2 linked regions of the Schizosaccharomyces pombe genome follow. Changing the gene in region 1 together with any one later gene gives a genetic interaction. Each region holds a gene or a part of one and is shown on either strand. Other genes may lie near its edges. The genes, in order: SPOM_SPAC29A4.02C and abc2.

Region 1 (4,477 bases):
AACAACATGGTCCTGCTTAATATATAGGAAGGATCGAGCGTAGAAATACCCTCTCAACCACTACTACGCTATCTATTTACCTCATGTTGATGTAAACGTCGATTTCTCATATTCAATCACTACGCTAAAAATTGCATCTTTTTGGGTGAATTATTTCACCGCTGATTGGAACGCTGTAGCCGCAAACTTCGTAAAAAGACAGGTTCATTGTGTAGCAGTGAGATCGTTATTTTTACGCAAAATCAATTCTTGTGCAAAGAAAAGAAATGAACTTCACTTGCATCGACTAGCTTGGTTTCATTTGCTTCACTTGTGCTCACCTTTGAGTTTGTAATTTTCACTTAGCCCATAACTTGATATTGGTCGGATTTGCAGATCAACTGCTTCTGTGCATGGTAGACGCTACATGTATCTAACCGACTGATATATTGATGCAGTTATGCTTTAGCTGGAAATATCAAGAACGACTGCAAATATTGCTGACGATGGGTGGTGCACTTTGCAATGCATGTACAAACAATCGCCTAGCCGTCTACTAAAATTCCAAGAACTGCTTTGGAAACGAATACTACTATGGTCAAACATACGTGGACTTTATTTACAATAAAGCGAGCTAACGATTTTTCACAAATAGCAAACCTTATACACATTTGAGAATTGAAAAAAAAGGGAGGAATTCAAAAAATAAGCAAACATACACAATGTCTACTCTTTTTGAAATGTAAAATCAATCATTTTCTAAGGCTAAAACAAACTCAATCTTGGAATTATCAATAAACAATAGGGATTGCCTTCCCAACAAACCTACCTTATCCATTTCACCCAAACATTTTTACTTGCAGACCTTGCCGTCAGCGACCTCACGTCCCTCAATAGGCTTGTCCCAGGCCCAAGCGTCTTCAATGAAAGCCTTGTCCTCGGGCTTGTTAATGTCGAGCTTGGTGAAGGTATAAGATCCCCAATCTGGAGCAACATCAAAAGCAGGAACATAGTCATGTCCCTTAATGACAAAAGCACCAGTAATGGTGTTGTCACCGTTCTCGCCAATAACTACGCAGCATCCAAAGATGTACTTACGAGAAGCTTCTAAACGTTGGAAGAAACCACCAATAAGATTGTTGGTCATGAAGACTGGTTGCTTCAAATCTTCGGGGTAGCTGTAATCAACCTTCCAAACGGAGTAGTTCTCGGGATCAAAGTGCTCAAAGAACCAAGGAAGAGCTCCACTACGAGTGTCTTGGTTACTGTAGACACGCTTGTACTCTTCGATGTCAAAAGATCCATTAGGAGCAGAAGCAAGGGGGTGCTTGGGGGGCTTAGCGGGAGCCTCGGCTTGAGGTTTGGGAGCATTCTTCTTCTTCTCATCCTTCTTCTTTTCGGCCTTCTTAGCAGGAGCAGCCTCCTTATTCTCAGCCTTTATAATAGGAAGAGGTTGGTCAATAAATTTAAGAGGTTCAGTAATGGCATCCAACTTAGCTTGGTGGTATATGGTTTGGTAATAACGATAAATATGGGTGTACTTGGCCAAATAAGACTTGGTAAGAACGTAGGTAGCACCGAACTTCAAGAAGCATGTAAAGAAGATATCAGCCAAAGTAAGACGAGAACCAACCAAGTAGGTCTTAGAAGCCAATTCCTCATCAAAACGGGCGAAAATCAAAGCAATGGCAGTTTCAGCTTCCTTAGCAGCTTGCTCATCATAGGGAGCGCCAAAGACACGGGGAGCAATTATAGGGCGAAAGGCGCCAGGGAGCTCACTGTTGGTAAAAGAACAGTATTGGAGGACTTTAGCCTTCTCTTCGGCAGTAGTACCGTTCAAAGCACGAGTCTTGTTGAGAGATGCCACTAAAATTGACAATTAGTAAAACAGGTCAATGATCAACAAAAGAAATTATTTCGTTATTCAAAAAATCTATTTGGATAAATTAATATCGTGGGCTTTTTCCTTTCTTCATATTAACAAGATTATTCAGATTTACCATTCTCAACACTATGCTTTAGACAGGGATAACTGTAAAAAAAAATAGTATCATCATACAAAGTTACAAAGTACCGTAACATTGACTACTCTCTGAAGAAGTTCGAAGCACCATACGATATTATCGTCAACATGGAGTTTACAGGATTTTGCTACTTACAGTAAAAAGCGATGGCAAGGGTCTCAGACAAAGGGAATCCATCCTTTCCAACAAAGACGGGCATCTTTTGCAAAGGGAACTTCGCAGCGAGATCAGCAGGGAAGTTGTGAGGTTGAACATCAACATGTTCGACCTCGACACCTGCGACTGCGGCAACGCTGACACAGAAAAGGACGCGAGGAGAGCCAATTTTTCCGTAAACGGTTCCTACAGACATAGCTACTAAGATGTTGGGAGAGAAAGAATTGTAAAGGGCCTGAAATTTTATGTACAAATAACGAGCTCAAATTGGACAAAAAATGTTGTTGTCCTGGCAACCCGATTGTTCTGGTTAACAAACTAAACACTAGAAAAGTAAATAAGAACAATACATAAATAAATATGAAAAAGGGGCTCTACTTTTCAATGAAACGACTAGAAGAAATCAGAAATGCATTGTGTCACCTTAAAATTCTTTCCTTAATTATTCTGGTTAGCAGGTTCTGTTTTGAGATTTTATATGTTTAATCCAGATCTAATGCTTGAAGAAGCGTGCATATACAAAATTTCATGGCAAAGGGTAGATCAACATTATTCTGAAATATACTGTAAAAAGTTGTAAAAAAATTGTATTAATGACATTAGAGTAGTAACTCATAAGTTTTTTCCTCGCTGTGTAGTAGAAGACGAAATGACCGAAACTCGTATAACTTGCATTCTTATATAAGAATATCAGATTTTATGCTGAACTTTTGAAATGACTGACAGATAAGTGTAACTTTTGTATAAAAAAGATAGATTAATTCGTACATCTGTAAAAACAAAGATAAATTAACGCTTGACCCATGTGTATTTCTTCCTTGCTTTAGGTTGACCTGTTTTCTTACGTTCGACTTTCCGTTTGTCATTCAAAACACAGTGCGTGTCTTTAATGACCTGCTTCAACGAAGGCTCTTGAAGTATGAGAGACTTCGAGATAGCAGCGTGAACAGCACCAGACTGTCCAGTTGGGCCGCCTCCATGGACTGTAGCCCAAACATTGTAATTTGTTAAGCGATTGCAGGCCGCAAGTGGATAAACAGCGTGTTTTCGATGAACCATTCTTTGAAAGTAGACATCAAATGGACTCCCATTCACATAAAATTTTCCGGTTCCCGGAAGCATCTTTACAGTAGCTTTGCTCGATTTCCTTTTTCCTTTGGTAATACTCATTCCATTTTCATCAAGCATTTGGCTTTTTAATGTGGTTTTCACGACAATGTCTGGGCGAATAAACTTCTCAAGCGCTTTTTGCACTGCTTCAGTACGATACTCAGGAACAATTTCGTTTAATTCATTAAGTAAACGAGTAATTTTTCGATAGCCAACTTTAGTTGTTTTGGGATCAGAAAACTCTTTTTGATACTGCTCTAACGTTTTCCACTTTACTTCGGAACGTCTTCCTCAGCAGCTATGATTTTAGGTGCAAACTTAAGGATGTTTTCCAAATGCAAATAGATTTCATTAAACCTAGCGTTTTGCGTAAAATAAGAGGGATTATCAGGAATATAATGGATATTTCGAATCAACGGTACACTTTTGATATTTTTATGCGAAGATAATCCCAACGAACTGGCAAAGCATCTTAACTTTGCCAGTGACCTAAACATTGCAAACGATCAACGGAATAGCTGAACTTAGCCAAATCCAATGGCTTCGAGATGGTCGTCCACGAGAATCTGTGTGGCATTATAGTGCCTTCGTACCTAACATACTATAACGAGGAATAAGCTCAGATACACATATTACCAATCTAAGTACATTAATTTGATCAAATATATACATACTAAAATACTAAAAGGAAAACAGTATAAACATATTCTTTTCAAAGAAAAGATAATATTATTATCCAAATGCCGAAGACAATGCGCTTTCTATCGGAAACAAAGTGAATTGCTAAATATCAAACAATCATGCTTAATTCTAAGGAAACTGCGGATGTGCATTGTAATTGTCATTAGGGCTATAGCGATAAATTATTTAAGTTTTCACAAGCTAATATCCAAAACAACAAGTCAAAAAAGCAAAAGGTTGAAACTTCGCTTTCTTTCTTAACCCTCAAACGGTATCTCAAAAACTTATAGGATCTCGGAATAAGGGATTTTGTGCTTAAAACCCTTTATAACAAACCCAAACTGTAAAATGACCAAATTCAGTAGAAGAAACGAACGATATTTAGGGCATTTTACTCAGACTTCTTCTTCTTCTCCTTTTTTTCTTTTTTCTCCTTCTTTTCCTTCTTCTCCTTCTTAGCTTCCTTTTTCCGCCGTTTTTCCTCTTTCTTAGCAGCTTCATCCTCATCCTTCTCAGATGATTCTACC
Region 2 (7,358 bases), 2.3 Mb from region 1:
ATGAAATGAGAAACGAGGTTCAGTTATAAATTACATTAGTGATAGATAACAAATATAACCTACATAATAGAATACCTAACTCAGATGCTACAAATATTACCTGTGTGTTGCAATATAGTAGTCAGAAGGAAAACTCAACGCAGTTTTGCATATCGTTAAATAGATATCAAACTGCGTAGCTGACACTAAATAAAAATAAAGTAGGTTTGGTAAATGCGTTGTTTTTAATTAAACGAGGGCAGCGTAGCCCTTCCTTAAGTGATTCTACTTAGTAATATCAACGCGGTTTACAGACGTGTTTTATCAACAATGAACCTCGCTTCATGTTAAAAGTTTGATGTGAATTGCTTTTTTGAGCTATTTGAACATTTAAGTGCTTTTTAAAATACATTTGCTACTCTTCTTTTAAGTTTGGTAATTAAGAGTGCAATATTTTATCACGCTTGTCAATGTTAGGGATCCGTGAAGTGCCTTTGATTACCACTATCATTTTGCAACATTATTTTTAAACATTCCATTAGAAAGAACAGGAAAAAGTTCTTTGAACTAATTGAACACCTGTTTCACCCTTTGCGACTGATAGCAGTTCGTTTTAATTTTTTTAATTTGAGTTGATGCGAAAATCAACGCTTTAATTTTGGACAGCCTTTAAGCACAATCATCGTTTATTCTATATTTATTTTTTTTATTCCTGTTTTACATATCTAACGTTTTGGAATTTTTTTAAACTTCCAGTCTTCAGAAACCTTTTATCTATTTATCCTTAGAATCCCATTTATCAAGATACTCTTGTCAAGCTACTATATGTACTCATAAACTACCTTGTGTTTTCATCTCTTTACTAGACTGTTCATTCTCCCTTATCATTACATTGCTGGTTTACTACGAAAGTGTTCAAATACATTGGCTGGATTCATCAGCGGTAACACTTCAATCATTACATTATCTTCATGCTTGTAAAAAATTCATTTCTATTATAGAAATTTTCTTTGTTTTATGAGATAATAAATTCGGCTAGAAAATGCAAAGAGATATGTCCATAAATCATCTGCTTCCTCCTTTATCAGGACCAGGACAAGTCGAACAACTCACAGGTTTTACTAATGACATAGTTTATAACGATTTTTATGCTCATGCCGTTAGTTATAATCCTTATCCCTCTGAAAAGATTGATTTTCCCAAGAAAAATACAGCCCATAAAAATTCCACGACTTCAACGGTAGCTTCTAGTGGTAATACGACTATGGAAAAACCATGTGTTGGAAGCGAGGAATGGTATAAAGCTAAAAGATTAAGTCACAAAGAAGTAGAGCGTAGAAGAAGAGAAGCCATAAGTGAGGGAATTAAAGAGTTGGCGAACATCGTTCCTGGATGTGAGAAAAATAAAGGTAGTATCCTTCAAAGGACTGCTCAATATATTCGATCCCTTAAAGAAATGGAGGAAATGTGTCGTGAAAAATCAAATTTGGAGAAACTTGTTGCTGATCATACTATTCAAGAACTAGCTAGGGAGAACGCACGGTTAAAATCGGAATGCGAACGTGCATGGCGCAGTGTTGAGCTTTGGAAGCAAGCTGCTAGGAGTTTTGATTCAGAACTTGATGTAGAAGAGAATAGTGAATCGTAAAATAACTCTCCTTTTCTAATGCAATTATTTCCCTATCATTTTTTGCATTTTTTTATATATTTCCATTTACTTTGATCCTACTTTCCCTTGAGGTCCACGTTTATAGTCTAACTATATGGTTTACAATACTTTTAACTTATATACATATTTTATTTTCAACTTACATTGCATAGTAATTTAGAATCTGAATTTAATCTGATTAGAAATTGCTTTGAAGTTACCATGACTGTAAAACTTGTTTTTAAAGGTTTAAGAAACATTTGTTTACAGTGAATATCATTAGATTAAAAATCATAACTGTCAAAACCATATTTAATATGTAGATTCGTTTTGTGAAAGGTTAGTCAATTCAACGATGAAATTATAAACTCATTAGATAGATTAAAATATATTAAGGGATTCCATTAATATATCTAGTTGCTCATAAAAATTTAGTAATATTTTGTTGTTAGTTACTGAATCGAAATGTATTACGAACATGTTCATTCATACCACCACAAATTTATACTTTGTAAGCCACTTATCTTCAGCCAACACTCTTCAGGTTTTGTTACATTCGCAGGAAATAACTGTTTCAGGGAATTTGAATCAGTTTAATACTGTATTATCAAAATGGTTCTTGAACAGGATTTAGATCCTTTTGTAGGTGGAAATTGGATGAATTCTGCTTACAAAGGATTCACATTTCTATCGGCAACTTGGCTTGCTCCAAACATTTACCTTCTTATCAGTGGATGTCTGCAGTACTTCTATGAGGTTAGAAAAAGGTCTCATTATTTTCATTTTCGAAGATTTTGGACAATATGGCTGAAGTCTTTAGTTATTATGGTTCTCCTTTTCACCCATATTTATGACTGTTATAAAACGAATGAAAGTGTATGGAATGTATTAAGCATTATAACTTATTTTCTTGCTTTGTTTTTGCATGTTGTGGAGCAGCCTACGTTGCGAATACCTATGGCCTCTTTGTTGATGTTTTGGCTTTTTAAGTTTTTAGCCTCGGCTCTGGTTTTATTACTTCGTCCTAATTATACAATGTTCCCTATGCTTAACGTAGTTCCCTCCATTACTTTTTTTTGCTCATTGGTATGCCTTCTAGCTGAAATCTACGTGCCTCCTGCCAACCGAGTTTGGTATCCCGATGATGCAGCTGAGTTGGAAGAGACTGGATTAAGACCATCTCGGTTTACCTATGCCAACATTTTTTCAAGGATATCATTTGGTTGGCTTAGCCCTCTTATGAAGTTTGGTTACAGAAATTATCTTACTGAATCAGATGCTTGGTCTCTTCCTCCTGCCGAACGTTCCAGCAATCTGACTATTGTTTTTGAAAAGAATTGGATTTCCCATGCAAAAAAGAAAAAAAGTAGTCTTTACATGTGGGGTGTTTTGTTTTTAAACCATTGGAAGCTTACCGTTGTTATTATCGTTTTGAAGTTGGTGCAAGACGTTGTAGCGTTTATTCAGCCAAATTTAATTAGGAAGATTGTTATTTTTGTTAGCTCCTATTCTTCTGAGCATCCACAACCTCCTCAAGTAGGTTTCAGTCTTGCAATCGCTATGTTTTTAACCAACGTCGTACAAACCGCATTGTTACAACAATATTTCCAACTTGGCATGGTACTTGGCATGAGATGGAGGTCCGAATTGATTACTGCTATCTATCGCAAATCCTTACGTCTCTCAAGTGCGGCTCGTCAAAGTCGATCTGTTGGAGATATCGTAAATTACATGTCTGTCGACACTCAAAAAGTTTGTGATTTAACTATGTTTTTGTTTGTTATTGTATCGGGTCCTTTCCAAATTGTACTAGCTCTCACAAATTTGTACCATCTTGTAGGATACGGTGCGCTCTCTGGGGCTTTTGTGACATTCTTACTATTTCCTTGTAATGTTGTGATTGCAAGTATCTTTAAAAGGTTTCAAAATAGACAAATGAAAAATAAAGACGCACGTTCTCAGTTTATGACTGAAATTATTAACAATATTCGCAGCATTAAGTTGTATGCTTGGGAAAACATATTCCTTCAAAAATTGCTGCAGTTAAGGAATACCAGAGAATTGCGCATGTTGAAAAAGATTGGAATTGTCAACACTATTGGCAACTTTACCTGGCTTTTTGCTCCTATTCTTGTATCAGCCGCAACGTTTGGTACTTTCATTGTTCTGTATGGAAAGACACGTGTGCTTTCAGTTGATATAGTCTTTGCTTGTTTGAGTCTTTTCAATTTGTTACAATTTCCGTTAACCATGTTGCCTATTGTTGTCAGTTCAGTTTTAGAGGCATCTGTTGCTATTTCTCGTATCTATGGGTTTCTCACTGCAGGTGAATTGGACTCCAACGCTGTTCAACGCTACCCAGCTAACAAAGAACCATCCGGAGTTTGTTTAGAAATTAAAAAGGGTACATTTAGTTGGTCCGGTCCTGGACAAAATGCCGCAGAACCTACTTTACGTGATATTGATTTTGTGGCTAGAAGGGGTGAGCTATGTTGCATAGTTGGTAAAGTTGGAATGGGTAAATCATCTTTGCTTGAAGCTTGTTTGGGCAACATGCAGAAGCATTCTGGCTCCGTGTTCCGCTGTGGTTCCATCGCGTATGCAGCTCAGCAACCCTGGATTTTGAATGCTACTATTCAGGAGAATATCCTCTTTGGCCTTGAACTGGATCCTGAGTTTTATGAAAAAACCATTCGTGCTTGTTGTTTGTTGCGTGATTTTGAGATACTTGCTGATGGAGATCAAACGGAAGTTGGCGAGAAAGGTATATCTTTATCTGGAGGTCAGAAGGCACGTATTTCTCTTGCTCGTGCTGTTTATTCTCGCTCAGATATTTATCTTCTTGATGACATTTTATCTGCTGTTGACCAGCATGTTAATAGAGATTTAGTTAGGAATCTTTTAGGTTCAAAAGGTTTACTCAGATCACGATGCGTTATTCTTTCAACTAACTCCTTAACCGTTTTAAAAGAAGCCAGCATGATTTATATGTTAAGAAATGGTAAAATAATAGAGAGTGGAAGCTTCACTCAATTATCTTCTTCGCCAGACTCCCAATTGTTTCAATTACTTTCGGAATTTAGCAAGAAGGATACCGCATCATCTACTGGAGCCGATACTCCTCTCTCCCGTTCTCAATCTGTAATTACTTCTTCTACCGATGTCACGAGTTCAGCTAGCCGTTCTTCTGACACAGTTAGCAATTATCCAAAGGCCACCATAAAAGGAACAGGTAGGATCCGTAAAAGGTTAACCGACGAGGACAATGTCAAAGCTACTGGACAAGCTGCTGAGAAAATGGAACGTGGTAAGGTAAAGTGGAAAGTATACTGGACGTACTTTAAAGCGTGCTCTTTGTTTTTAATCTTCTTGTATTTCCTTTTCATTATTGGTGGTATTGGTATGAATGTTGGTACTAATGTTTGGCTTAAACATTGGAGTGAGGTAAATACACAATTAGGTTATAATCCTAAACCATACTTTTACTTGGGTATATACACATTGTTTGGTCTTCTTTCTTGTGCATTGATTTCTCTTAGCAGCTTAACCATTACCGTGTTTTGTGCTATTAAAAGCTGTCGTTATCTACATGATTCAATGGTAAAGGCGGTTTTGCGTGCTCCCATGAGCTTTTTTGAAACCACGCCAACTGGTCGAATATTAAACCGATTTTCCAGCGATGTTTACCGTGTGGACGAAGTTATTTCTAGAGTTTTTATGTTTTTCTTCAGAAATCTCTTTCAAATAGTTTTCGTACTAGCAGTTATTTGCTATTCTTCTCCTATGTTTATGATCCTAATTGTTCCATTATTCTTTCTGTATCGTTACAATCAAGTTTATTATACTCAAACTTCTCGAGAGCTAAAAAGGCTTGATAGCGTTACTCGCAGTCCTTTATATGCTCATTTCCAAGAGTCTTTGGGTGGGTTGTCAACTATTCGTGCTTATGACATGGAAGATACATTTATCTCGGAGAACGATATTCGTGTTGATACCAATCACCGAATTTGGTTCTTGTACTTCAGTTCAAATAGATGGCAGGCAATTCGTGTTGAAGCAATAGGCGCTTTGGTGGTATTTTCATCTGCATTTTTTGGAGTTCTCTCCGCAGTCCGTGGAAATCCTAATTCTGGTTTAGTGGGTCTTTCGTTGTCTTATGCCGTACAGATTACCCAAAGTTTAACCTTTGTCGTAAGACAGTCTGTTGATGTAGAAACAAACATTGTTTCAGTCGAACGAATGCTGGAATACATTGGTCTTCCAAGTGAGGCACCCTCCATTATTCCAGATCATCGTCCTCCAGAAGGATGGCCTTCCCATGGTGCAATTAAATTTGATCACTACAGTGTCAGATATCGTGAAAATCTTCCACTAGTCCTAAACGATATAAGTGTTAACATTAAACCACAAGAAAAGATTGGTATTGTCGGTCGTACAGGAGCAGGAAAGTCGACTTTGACGCTTGCATTGTTTAGATTAATTGAGCCAACATCAGGAGACATACAATTGGATGATATCAATATTACTTCGATTGGATTACACGATTTACGCTCCAGACTTGCTATTATCCCACAAGAAAATCAAGCTTTCGAAGGTACAATTCGTGAGAATCTCGATCCTAATGCTAATGCTACCGATGAAGAGATTTGGCATGCTCTCGAAGCTGCTTCCTTAAAACAATTCATCCAGACTCTTGACGGCGGGTTGTATTCCCGTGTTACAGAAGGAGGAGCCAATCTTTCGTCAGGCCAACGCCAGCTGATGTGCTTGACAAGGGCATTATTGACACCCACACGCGTATTATTATTAGATGAAGCTACTGCAGCTGTTGATGTTGAAACAGATGCTATTGTGCAACGCACAATTCGTGAACGCTTTAACGATCGTACCATTTTGACCATTGCTCACCGTATTAATACTGTGATGGATTCGAATCGTATATTAGTATTGGATCATGGTAAGGTAGTCGAATTTGATTCAACGAAAAAGCTGCTGGAAAATAAAGCATCTTTGTTTTATTCCCTCGCAAAAGAGAGTGGACTTATTTGAGTTCACAGGTCGTTTGCTAATTTAAAATGCTTCTAATTAATTTTATGAAAATCCCGAAACTGTTATTCCTAAGCAAATTCTCATTTTGTTAGATTTACAAGTTACTGGTTTCTTGGTAATTTATATACTATTTTTTCTCAACTTGCTAAAAGACAATTTATCCGAATCATGTTATATTTTTTCTTCCCTTGTATTCAGCATATCTCTGTTTCGAAAAAAGCATGCACGCTGCTCACTTACAAGATAACCTTTTGTTGAAAAGGAAGATTTATTAACTATATATGATTGAAGATTTTTTCTTTTCAAAGGATATATAAGTTCTGCAAAGTTTCCTAAAAAAATCTTTCTTTTTTGTTTCTTACACCTTTTGACATTTATATTGGAGCCTAACGTTTTGCCGCTTTGATATCATTTATCCGTTGATTTTAGAAAAAAAAGTTAGGAAGAGTTGTTACCGATTTTTTCCTTCTTTTTATGCCAATATTCACTTCATCAGATTTAATTTGGCTACTTTTTTTTTCGTAACCTACTATAGTTATCTCATTATAGAATGAAATGAAACTCTATTATTATGTAGTTAAAATCAATGATAAGCACTGTATTAAAGTTTAAGAGAAAATCGCGAATTCCTTTTGATGTCCTTTTCTCAAAGGATACAAACACGATTTATAACACCTTTGCT

Evidence for each region.
Region 2: mutations in SPOM_SPAC29A4.02C (region 1) and abc2 together harm fitness less than expected from each alone (positive genetic interaction), as found in Schizosaccharomyces pombe (one large-scale study listed by BioGRID).

Annotation. Positions count from the first base shown.
Region 1 is NC_003424.3:5,141,696-5,146,172, reverse strand, and holds SPOM_SPAC29A4.02C (translation elongation factor EF-1 gamma subunit), read right to left. Parts: upstream 2,371-4,477; 5' UTR 2,356-2,370; coding exon 2,139-2,355; intron 2,041-2,138; exon of another isoform or gene 1,967-2,040; intron 1,846-1,966; coding exon 833-1,845; 3' UTR 658-832; downstream 1-657. Other genes in the region: pseudouridylate synthase Cbf5, read right to left, coding at 4,342-4,477. UniProt on the Schizosaccharomyces pombe protein: Probably plays a role in anchoring the complex to other cellular components.
Region 2 is NC_003424.3:2,836,586-2,843,943, reverse strand, and holds abc2 (vacuolar phytochelatin and glutathione S-conjugate ABC family transmembrane transporter Abc2), read left to right. Parts: upstream 1-2,155; 5' UTR 2,156-2,239; coding exon 2,240-6,676; 3' UTR 6,677-6,823; downstream 6,824-7,358. Other genes in the region: SPOM_SPAC3F10.12C (transcription factor), read left to right, coding at 1,022-1,627. UniProt on the Schizosaccharomyces pombe protein: Involved in vacuolar sequestration of glutathione S-conjugates. Together with abc4, required for accumulation of a red pigment (ade pigment) in the vacuole of a mutant affected in the adenine biosynthetic pathway.